3 linked regions of the Pelodiscus sinensis genome follow. The protein of the gene in region 1 purifies or fractionates together with the protein of each later gene. This does not show direct contact. Links are inferred from orthologs where the notes say so. Each region holds a gene or a part of one and is shown in the gene's direction. Other genes may lie near its edges.

The links.
Region 2: the proteins of PRPF4 (region 1) and ZGPAT purify together in Homo sapiens (affinity purification with mass spectrometry; 4 studies listed by BioGRID and IntAct, counting the BioPlex papers as one, with this or other methods). This does not show direct contact. The link is inferred for Pelodiscus sinensis from reciprocal best matches to the Homo sapiens genes PRPF4 and ZGPAT.
Region 3: the proteins of PRPF4 (region 1) and MEPCE purify together in Homo sapiens (affinity purification with mass spectrometry; 4 studies listed by BioGRID and IntAct, with this or other methods). This does not show direct contact. The link is inferred for Pelodiscus sinensis from reciprocal best matches to the Homo sapiens genes PRPF4 and MEPCE.

Annotation. Positions count from the first base shown.
Region 1 is NC_134732.1:1,351,171-1,354,914, forward strand, and holds the start of PRPF4 (U4/U6 small nuclear ribonucleoprotein Prp4), read left to right. Parts: upstream 1-1,492; 5' UTR 1,493-1,537; coding exon 1,538-1,624; intron 1,625-1,821; exon of another isoform or gene 1,822-2,081; coding exon of another isoform or gene 2,082-2,090; intron 2,091-3,744. Other genes in the region: anaphase-promoting complex subunit CDC26, read right to left, coding at 1,244-1,324. UniProt on the Homo sapiens protein: Plays a role in pre-mRNA splicing as component of the U4/U6-U5 tri-snRNP complex that is involved in spliceosome assembly, and as component of the precatalytic spliceosome (spliceosome B complex).
Region 2 is NC_134728.1:3,548,020-3,551,763, forward strand, and holds the start of ZGPAT (zinc finger CCCH-type with G patch domain-containing protein), read left to right. Parts: upstream 1-790; 5' UTR 791-1,014; intron 1,015-3,197; 5' UTR 3,198-3,360; coding exon 3,361-3,744. UniProt on the Homo sapiens protein: Transcription repressor that specifically binds the 5'-GGAG[GA]A[GA]A-3' consensus sequence. Represses transcription by recruiting the chromatin multiprotein complex NuRD to target promoters.
Region 3 is NC_134734.1:8,771,866-8,775,609, reverse strand, and holds the start of MEPCE (7SK snRNA methylphosphate capping enzyme), read left to right. Parts: upstream 1-902; 5' UTR 903-1,198; coding exon 1,199-2,851; intron 2,852-3,744. UniProt on the Homo sapiens protein: S-adenosyl-L-methionine-dependent methyltransferase that adds a methylphosphate cap at the 5'-end of 7SK snRNA (7SK RNA), leading to stabilize it.

The DNA of each region.
Region 1 (3,744 bases):
ACCAATTTCACAAACTGCGTTTCACAAGAAATAAAATCAAGTTTACTGACTAGAAAGGGTAGATTTTAGAGTGAATGTAAAGGACAGCACACAGAACAAAGATTACTGAGCAAGTAAAATATACAGACTCGATGCACTAAAGACACAGGCTACAAATAGTACTGTCTCACCCTAAATGTTATCTTGGGCAGATTGCAAAGATTCTTGAAAGTCAGTTACAGTAGCCTGCAGCTTAAAACTTCAAGTATTACTACTCAAAGAAAGTCACCCTTCTAGCCTGGGCTCAACTTGTTGCACCTCAGTTCAGTCCTTGTTTCCAGATGTGTCTGGGAGGCAGAGAACTACAATGTCATTCTCCTGCCTCATAGCTTTTGTATATGCCATTACATCTGCCAATGTAAATACTGTGTTTGACCCCAATAGCTGTAGGTCAGGGATGAGCAACTATTTTTTGCTAGGGGCTACTTAAAACATTTTGTAAGTGGCCTCAGGCTACTCCAGAAGGGGCGGGGCTTCCAACTGAAGGGGCAGGGCCAGGATGTTTCTGGGCTTCCCCACCCTCAGACCATGATTGGCCTGGGGGTGGGGGAGCCCGGAGGCACCCATGCCCCTGGCACTGGGAGGAGTCTTCCCGCGGAGGCTCTTTTGCCCACCCCTGCGGTTGGTGCATGTATACAGATGGGCTCTGTCTACACGGGCAGTTTCTTGTGCAAGAACAACTGTTCGTGCGCAAAACCTTGTCTGCTGTCTGCACTGCGCACGTGTTCTTGTGCAGGTAAATTCACAGCACAGCGTCGGAAAACAGCTTCTTCCGGACGAGTTACTCCTGTCCCCTCGAGGGACGAGCCCTCTTGCGCAAGAGGCCGGTGTCCACAGGCAACGGCAGAAGCCCTGTGGCTAAAACGGCCATGGGAGCTCCCTGCGCAAGAGCGCCCAGCTGCCAGGGATGCGCTTGTGCGAAAGCGCCCGCCGGTGCAGAGCGGCCTGGAGCTCGCGCAGCGATCGCCCCGCAGGGACATCACGGCCGCTCCCCCCCGCCCCTCGGGGCCGCCTGCGCGTGCGGGAGAGCGGGGCCTCGCCAAGGGGGCCGGGCCGGGGGGGGGGGCGGGGGGCCGGGGGAGCCGGGGGGGGGGGGCCGGGCGGAGGGAGCCGGGGGGGCGCCGGGGGGGGCCGAGCCGAGCGGGGGGGGGGGGCCGGGCCGGGGGAGCTGGGGGGGCCGAGCCGGGCCGGGGGGGGCGCTCACCTCCAGCTCCTTCCGGGTGCTCTCGAACTCCTCGATGTCGTCCAGCTTCAGCTCCAGGCGCGTGGGCTTCCGGCGCAGCATCGCGGGGGGGCGGAGGGGTCAGCGAGGCGCGACCAGGGCGGAGGGGGGGAGCGCGCCGATCAGCTCCCGCGCCCCGCGCCGGCCCCTCCCGTCAGGCCCCGCGCACCTTCCGGAACGCCGGCCTGCCCCCGGAAGCACAAGCGTCCCGCTCCTCCCCGGGACCCGGAAGCGGAAGTGACGCCTGGCCCGGGGCTCTCGCCCCTCCGGACTGACATGGCTTCCTCGCGGCCTCCCGCCCTGCGCGGCGCCCCGGGGCGGGCGGCGCCTTCTCCCCAGCCGGGCCCGGCTCCCTCCCCGCGGGTAGGGCCCGCTCGGCCTCCTCTGCCGCTTCCGCCGCGCAGCAGCCCCCCCCGCCCCCTCCGCACCGGGCGGCCCTGGCCTTTGTGGCGGCTTCTCTCTTAAGAAAAGGAGCCGCCGCCGCCTGCTCTGCGAGCCCCGCGCTTACCTCGCCCGGCCCGCTTCCTGCCAGGGCTCGCTCCGAATGTCCAGTGCCTGGGGGTTACTTGAGCCTTGAGCGCAAGGGCTACTCGGGACCCTTTCAGGCCTCTGGGTACGCGCTGCTTGGCAGCCCTCCTGGGCACATGCCCGGCACAGTCCATTCAGACCCATCTGTAGGACTAACTTTTTCAAATACCGTCTTGAGTTTTGTTCCACCAAAGGATTGAGAGCCACACGCCAACTGGGGGAAATGTCAAATAATTGGGACCATTGAGGGCACTCTCATTGCAGAAACAAAAAAGCATGTATATGTGCAGTTATGCCAGAGGTATTATGAGATCATTGGAAATGGATTCTTTATTTAGGGAATAGAATGTTATAATGTGGTAACTAGTTGATTTGACTTTTGTGTGTATTTTGGAAAAATTGGGGAGTAAAGTGAGGCAGTCAGGGTGTCAGTGAGGTGGATAATAGAGGGGAAGGAATTTGCTGAATCCTTCATGTTCATAGTTACATTTCCCAGTAGTCTGAGATCTTTGTTTTTGAAGGTCTTAATTATTTGTAAGGAGTGTAATTTTGTTACACATAGTAGCTGGACTCTATTGAAAACATTGTCTGCCTTAATCGTGATCTGCAAATTGGTTTGTGTTCTTTATGCACTACAGGCAGTCCCCGGGTTACGTACAAGATAGGGACTGTAGGTTTGTTCTTAAGTTGAATCTGTATGTAAGTCGGAACTGGCGTCAGCCGCTGCTGAAACTGATCAGTTTAAACCGCGGCTGAATCTGGACGCCAGTTCTGACTTACATACAGATTCATCTTAAGAAACCCAGGCGTCCCCAAGTCAGCTGCTGCTGAAACTGATCAGCGGCTGATTCCAGGAAGCCTGGGGCAGAGCAACTCTGCCTCGGGCTTCCTGTAGTCAGCCTCTGGTCAGTTTCAGCAGCGGCTGACTTGGGGATGCCTGAGGCAGAGCAGCTGGGGTGCTGCTGGGTTGCTCCAGTAGCGCGGCTCCTCAGCGCTACTGGAGCAACCCAGCAGCACCCCAGCTGCTCTGCCCCAGGCATCCTGATTCAGCCGCTGCTGAAACTGACCAGCAGCAGCTGAATCAGGACGCCTGGGGCAGAGCAGCTGGGCTGCTGCCGGGTTGGTCCGGAGCGGCGCTGCGGGACCAACCCGGCAGCCCCCAGCTGCTCTACCCCAGGGGTAGGCAAGAAAAGCCTGGTCTGCTGGGGGGGGGGCACTAGCTGCACCTCCCCCACCCCTCCAGCAGACCAGTAAGACGGGGGTGGCTGGACCACCCAAGTCCTCCACGGCTTTGCTCCATCTCCCTGGCCTGCTGACTTGGGAGACGCGGAGCAAAGCTGCAGAGCACGCGAGCAGCGGGACAGTCCAGGCGCGCCGCGGCTGTCCCACTGCGGGCGTGCTCCGAGGCTTTGCTCCCCATCTCCCTGGTCTGCTGGTCAGGAGACGGGGAGCAAAGCCGCGGAGCACGCCCGCAGGGGGACAGCTCAAGTGTCCCGCTGCGGGTGTGCTCTAAGGCTTTGCTCCCCGTCTCCCTGCAGACCAGGGAGACAGGGAGCAGCTTTTCTCGCCCCAAAGGACGGGGGCGGCGGACCGCGGCGCATCTGGGTGTCCTGTCCTCCGGGGCGAGAAAAGCCCCGTTCGTAACTGCGGATCCGACATAAGTCGGATCCGCGTAACTCGGGGACTGCCTGTAGTCCAATGGATAAAGAATGATTAAAAAGGATGGATTTTTAAAGTTTGTTTTTTCTGCTTGTTTTTTTACATGAGAAATTAAGGATGTATCTAAGTTAGAAGGCTCCCTGATGGAGAACTTGTGAAATTATGCAATTGTACTGTCATAATTATGACATAAGATCAGAGATGCTTGAGCTTTTAAATTGAGAAAGGATTACTTTTTAAAATTTTTCTTCTGTTTACTTTTGATAAAAGCTATTTAGATTTGAAGGCTAACTAAT
Region 2 (3,744 bases), on another chromosome or scaffold:
CCCATAGACCCACCTCGGACCCCCAGCTCCGGCCCCACGGCTGGGGCCCGCCCCATAGACCCACCTCGGACCCCCAGCTCCGGCCCCACGGCTGGGGCCCGCCCCATAGACCCACCTCGGACCCCCAGCTCCGGCTGCACAGGTGGGGCCCGCCCCATAGACCCACCTCGGACCCCCAGCTCCGGCCGCACCGCTGGGGCCCGCCCCATAGACCCACCTCGGACCCCCAGCTCCGGCCCCACCGCTGGGGCCCGCCCATAGACCCACCTCGGACCCCCAGCTCCGGCCGCACCGCTGGGGCCCGCCCCATAGACCCACCTCGGACCCCCAGCTCCGGCCCCACGGCTGGGGCCCGCCCCATAGACCCACCTCGGACCCCCAGCTCCGGCCCCACCTCTCCCCGCCCCCCGGGCTGCACAGCGGGGGCCAGGCCCAGACACGCCCCCTCCCGCTCGGCCCAGGCCGGGGGGCCCCCCCGCGGGCAGGGGGAGCCCGGCGAGCCGGTGACTGGGGGGGCTGCAGGCTCCGCCCACCCGCGGAGCTGGGGGACAGTGATGGCCCCGCCCCCTACCTGGGTGACGGGTCTCGACGGCTCCTGCCACTCAGCCGCCCCGCGACTCCCGCTGCAGCTCGAATCGGCTCCCCCCTCCCCCCGCGGCCGCCTCCTACCCCCCACTGGGTGGGCAGCTGTCTCCGCCCCGTGCCCGCGGGGCACCCTGGGAAGCGTAGTTCCTCCGGCGCCAGGGACTCGGAAGGGGAAGGCCTCTTGGACCACCGCTCCCAGAATGCTCAGCGCGCCCAGCCGCGGGAGGCGTCCTCGCTTCAGCCCGCCGGAAACACCATTGGAGGAGGAGCTGGAGGACTGGCCCGCCCAAGATGGCGACGGAGCCGGAAGTCGACTCTAGCCGGAAGCCGGGTGGTGTCTATGGTGTGGCCTGTTCCGGGAGGCGGAAGCCATGGCAATGGAGAGAGTCATGGCGGCTGCGCTGGCTTAGCGGGAGCGGGCGGCCTGAGGTAAGGGAGGGGCCGCGGGGGCAATGGAGGTAACCGTTCCCCTGGGGTCTCCATGGCGACTGAGGGGAGTAGCCCCTCCCCCCGCCGCTGGGGGAGCTGCTGTGTCTCACATGGGGGGAGGGGTCGCCTTGGCTGGGGAGGGGTTAGATCACGTGAGGCGGTTGGGAGTTATTCTCCCCCCCCCCGGTTGCTATGGCTGGGGAGGTGCTGGGCCCCCTCCATGGGGACTCTTGACCCCCCCCTCATGAGGGATTTTCAGCTTCCCTCTGCCCCATTGAATGTGAGGCAGGGGGCGGCAAAGGGGGCAGCCCCTGGATCCTGCAGAGCGGGGGGGGGCAGAGGAAAGGTGCGGGTTGGGCGCAGCCCAGGGGTCTTTGCCTCCACTTTCACAGCAGGTTTAATGCCGCCTGCGTGGGAGGCAACGTGAGCAGAAAGATGTAAGAACAACCAGACTGGTCCATCCAGCCCAGTGTCCTGCCCACAGTGGCCAATTCCAGGTGCCCCAGAGGGAGGGATCACAACAGGGAATCCTCATGTGATCCCTCCCCTGTCACCTATTTCCAGACAAACAGAGGCTGGGGACACCATTCCTACCCATCCTGGCTAATAGCCACTGGTGGACCTAACTGCCATGAATTTATCTAACTCTTTTTTCAACCCTGTTAAAGTCCTAGCTTTCACCACATCCTCTAGCAAGGAGTTCCACAGCTTGACTGTGCAATGAGTGAAGAAAAACGTCCTTTTATTTGTTTTAAACCTGCTGCCTATTAATTTCACTTGGTGACCCTTAGTTCTTATATTTGGGGAGCAAGTAAATAACTTTTCCTTGTTCACATTTTCCACACCTGTCATGATTTTATAGACCTCTATCATATCTCCCTTTAGTTTCCTATTTTCTAAACTGAAAAGTCTGTCTTTTTAATCTCTCTTCAGATGGGACCCGTTCCAAACCCCTCATCATTTTTCTTGCCCTTTTCTTTACCTTTTCCAATGCCAATATATCTTTTTTCAGATGAGGCGACCACATCTGTATATAGTATTCAAGATGTGGGCGTACCATGATTTTATATAGAGGCAATAAGATATTTTCTGTCTTATTTTCTAACCCTTTTTAAATGATTCCTAACATTCTATTTGCTTTTTTGTCTGCTGCTGTACACTGAGTGGATGTTTTCAGAAAACTATCCACAATGACTCCAAGATCTCTCTCCTGAGTAGTTGTAGCTAAATTAGTTCCCATCATATCGTATGTGTAGTTGGGATTATTTTTTCCAATGTGCATTACTTTACATTTATCAACGTTATATTTAATTTGCCATTTTGTTGCCCAATCACTCAGTTTGGTGAGATCTTTTTGAAGCTCTTCACAGTCTGCTTTGGTCTTAACTATCCTGAGCAGTTTGGTATCATCTGCAAATTTTGCCACCTCACTGTTTACCCCTTTCTCTAAATCATTTATAAATACAGGCAGTCCCCAGGTTACATGGATCCGACTTACATCGGATCCCTACTTACAAACGGGGTGAGGCAACCCCGCACTAGCTGCTTCCTCCCAGCAGACCAGGGAGACGCGAAGCTAGCGCGCCCCCCCCCCTCCCCAGCAGACCAGGGAGATGCGGAGCGGCTTTTCTCAGCAGACACCTCAGCTTGAGAATAAAGGACTGAGGGAAGTGAGGTGTGGGAGAATAAAACTGAGCTCTGGAGAAATGTTTGGCTAGAGTTTCCTCTACAATATGTACCAGTTCCGACTTACATACAAATTCAACTTAAGAACAAACCTACAGTCCCTATCTTGTACGTAACCCGGGGACTGCCTGTAAGTTGAATAGGATTGGTCCCAGGACAGACCCTTGGGGACCCCACTTGTTACTAGTTATAATTAAAGAGGAGGTAGGGAGTGGTAGTGTTGTGTCATGGGACTGCAAGTTTAAAGGGACAGAAAAGTAAGGCTGATGTTATTCGCATGTCCTAGTTAATCATGGTTGAATTCTGAGGTAAGTTAAAAGCTTAACAGTTTTTCAAGTGCGATATCAACGGGGCAGGTTGAATGTACATGACACGAGCCATGTGTGTATAATGATATACGGTGGTAGCTGTTTGCATTACAGATATCTATTCAATTAGGATGGCTATCCTTGTGACTGCTTTCTCTAATGAAGCTTTATAATATTTGTTCCCTGCAGTGTTTTTCATCTGGTTGCAGCAAAGGGAAGAACACAAGACTACTGCAGAGATTGACAGCTAGTTTGGACAGAGACTCCATATTTCACATTTCTGTCCAGTAAATACTTGAGTATTTACCAAGTTCCCAGACAGGAATCAGCGAAACAGCTCTTTGCAATAACAATGGATGAAGAGAGTCTGGAAGCAGCAATTCAAACCTATAAAGCCCAGTTGCAACAAGTAGAGCTGGCTTTAGGGGCAGGGCTCGATCCATCACAGCAATCTGACTTGATCCAATTGCAGGAAGATTTGAAGCAATTGATAGAACTGACTGAATCCAGCCTGGTGTCAGTGAAAAAGAGCAAACTGCTGGCCAATTTAGACACCGATGGACCCTCCATTTCTCCAGCAGGTTCCCTAAAACAGGACAGTAATTCTGGCAGGTCCTGCAATGATGATGAGTATGATGCTTTTAAGGAAGCTATTGCTGAACTTGGTGGTGAGGACAAGCAGTTGTGTACTAAAGACATGGCCTCTCCAGAACAAGATGGAGAGGATGATGGGGGA
Region 3 (3,744 bases), on another chromosome or scaffold:
TTGTAGTTCACTCAGTTAAGGGTGATCATGTTGTGACCAGTTTTTTCGTATGAGCTGGGGTTATAGGTCATGGCCCACAAATGGGGTGAAAGTTCAGGTCGGATGGGAACTACCCTCCTGTCCACCCCCTTTTATGTTTCTATAATGGGGGGGAGGGAAGAGCTAGGCGGGCAATTAGTTCTGCGCAGGCGCGGAGTCCGACACCGTGCTAGGGGGAAACTACCACTCCCAGCATGTCCGAAGAGGAGGACACGTGACCACTGTTAACTGCCTTTTGCCTGGGGGGGCTTCATGGGGAGGTGAACCCCCCCCACACGAACCCGTTTTGAATGCGCCGCTCACACGGGAAGGGGCTTCTCATTCTCGCCGGTGGCGTATACCCGCCACCGGGTGAATAGGTGGTCGGGTTCACCCCGACGGACTCAGTGCGCCGCTTAGGTGTCTACTTCAGTGCCTGAACCGGCACCAGATTCAATTCATTTCTACGCGCCCTGGGGAACTCTTTGTTACCCTGTTCTTGTCCCCAAAAGACCCGCTTGGCCATTTTAATAACCATTTACATGGGGCAACTCCCTCCGCAACAGGCGCTTTGCATAGACAGCTCTGGGGTCGAAGGCCTCCCCGTGCCGCCCAGGGGCCCATTGCAAAGGTTTCCGATTGGCCTCCACAGCTTTCGTTCCGATCTCTCATTGGCTGATGTCGGGGCCCGGGGACGGGTGGAAGGAAGAAGAGGAGGGGCTTTTCGCGCGCAGGGGCGACGTTAGCAAAGGGGGGATGTCCTTCGAACTTATTGGCCAACGTTCCACGTGGGCACGGAAAACAGTGCGTCCGCATTGGCCGACTTTCGACGGAGGGGGTGGAGCGTTAAGCTGTCCCGCCCTCCGGGTATATCAACCCCGGGCGGGGGGGGCCGACTTCCCATCGCGTCGGAGGTGGGAGACGTGAGACGCTGCTGTATTCTATCGAGCTTCGCGCGGGCGGGTGGGCCGCGCATGCGCTAGCAGGGGCGGGGCAGGCGGCCGAGCGCATGCGCCTTGGGGCCCTGCGCGGGGGGCGAAGGCCGAACGCAACGGCGGCTGCGCTGTGAGCGGGACGGGCGAGAAGGGCACATGCGCAGGCGGCGCCCGTCAGAGGCGGGCCGTTGAGCGGAGCCACTTGGAGGAGGGAGGCGGCGGCGGAGCTCAAGCCGCTCGCCCCGATGCAGGAGATGATCGAGATGGCGGCTGACAAGGAGACCTTCCTGGTCCCGACTCCGCCACCGCCCCTCAAGGCCCCGGCCGGAGCGGGCGGCCCCCTGGGGCAGCTGCACCAGGAGCTTGCCTCGGTGGAGTTACGCCAGGAGGCTGCCCCGGCCAATCCGCGCGGCGAAAGGGGCGGAGCCGTCGTGCGGCCGCACCAAGAGGCGGTCCCGGGCGGGCGCGGGGAAGGAGTGAGCCGCGGAGACGGCCCCCTCATGCAGCTGCACGAGGAGGCCTCCTCGGAGTCTCACCAAGGGGCCGCCCCATTGGGCCAGTGCAGGGGCGGAAGCGGCCCCCTGCCGCGGTCGCACCAGGAGAGCGCCCGGGTCGAGCTACACCCGAGGGCCGGTCCCAAGGAGGAAGATAGCGTGGGCGAGCTGCCCCGGCCTCGCAATGGCTTCCAGGCCCACCGGCCGCCCGGGGGTGGGGGCAAAAGGAGGAACAGCTGCAACGTGGGCGGTGGAGGCTTCAAGCACCCGGCCTCCAAGCGTCGCCGTCGGGTCAACTCCGAGTGCGACCCGGTTCTGCCCTCTGAGTTCCTGCTGGGGGGCAACATCTTCGACCCCCTGAATCTCAACAGTCTCCTGGATGAGGAAGTGAACCAGGCCCTCAATGCAGAGACCCCCAAGTCATCGCCGCTGCCTGCCAAGGGCCGCGATCCAGTGGAAATCCTCATCCCCAAGGACATTACGGACCCACTGAGTCTCAATGCCCAGGATAGCGATGCAGCCCTTGTGCTGGCTGCACCCTTCAAGTCGGGCCGAAAGCGCCACCGTCATCGGGGGCAGCAGCGGGGGGGTGGTGGTGGTGGTGGTGGTGGTGGTGGGGACTGCAAGCAGGCAACCTGCAAGTCATGTGGGGCCAATGGGGCCTGTCCCACCCCACAGCCCTATGAACTTAACACGGCCATCAACTGTAGAGATGAGGTGGTCTCTCCACTGCTCCCCCTCGCTGCAGAGCAGCAGCCAGGAGTGGGCTGTGTCACCCCCTCCTGTTCCTCTGGCAGCAGCCGCCACCGCAAGCGGCGCAGGACTTGCAGCAAATCGGAGGCAGCTGGGGGTGCCAAGCAGACGCTGCCTCCCCACACACTGGTGGCCAGCAAAGGTGGGGGCCAGGCAGGGAAGAGTAGCCCAGAAAAGGGGAAAGGCGCTGGGAGACAACAGGCACCCATGTCCAAGCGAAGGAGACAACACAGAAAATTCCAGTATGGCAACTACTGCAAATACTATGGCTACCGTAACCCCAACTGTGAGGATGGCCGGCTGCGGGTCATGAAGCCTGAATGGTTCCAGGGCAAAGAGGTGCTGGACTTGGGCTGCAACGTAGGGCACCTCACCCTCAGCATTGCCAAGAAGTGGAAACCTGCCCGGGTGGTGGGCCTGGACATTGATGGAGCCCTGATACACTCGGCCCGCCAGAACATTCGCCACTACCTGTCCGAAGAGATCCAGCAACGGCAGGAGGAAGAGGAGGGGGCAGAGGGAGCTGGCCCCAAGAGGAGAAGAAGCTGCTTCCCTGCCTCACTGACAGCTAGCAGGGGACCCATTGCTGCCCCCCGGGTGCCCCAGGACGGGGCAGCTGCTGACTTCCCTGACAACGTGATCTTTGTCCGGGTAAGAGGCCTGGCCTGGGTGGGAAAGGGGCTGCCAGGAGAAAATCCTTCCGGGCTGTAGCAGCCACCTACCTGGTTGCTTTCAGTGAGAGGTGGGGATTCACCCAACTGCCCATGTTTATACGGTGGTGCAAGACATGCCCCTGACAATCTGAGATGGGGGAGAGGAGGGGTTGTCTCCCATCCTATAGGTAGATAGCTCATCTCCTAGGCTGGCCAGTGGCTTAGATGGGAAAAGGCTGGTAGTATGGGGGGTTGTTTTTGGATAAGGGAACTGGATCCTTCTGGAATGGTTTCTCTGGCTGATAATAGGGTCTGTTTTGGGGAGATAAATGAGACACTCCATCTTGCTGGAGGGGGTGTGTGTGTAGGTGGCCACTATTCCTCATGCTTAGGAGTTCTATGTAACTGACAAGATGGTGCTACCTGGGGACAAAGGGGGATACCAGTTAAAAGGCTCAGTGCAGCTTCCCTCCGTAAAGCCCCTTGGGTGAGAGGATGCTGCATTGTGTCCCCTTAGTCAAAACACTTGTCCTCCTCCACACAAGCACAAGAGGGAGTGGAGATGCCTGTGACCTTGGTTAATTTGGTTCACGTCCTTGCCTCAGTTAACCTAAGAATGTGCTGGTGCCTCTTGCTCTGTAAAGCCTTGACATTGTGTGATGTCCAGAGCCCACTCTTGGATGAACTAAGTGCCAGTGGCAGCAAATGGGGTGGTGTGTGAGGAAATGCAGTAGCCAGCTGATCTGCTAGCCCAGAGGTGTGGAACCTTTTTTGGATTGGGGGAAATAACACCCAAAAAAACCTCATTGATATGGCCCCTGACTGGAAAGGAGAAAGCCGCTCCCCACATTCTCCTTGCACACCAGAGATTGAAGGGGCAAGCTAGTAGAT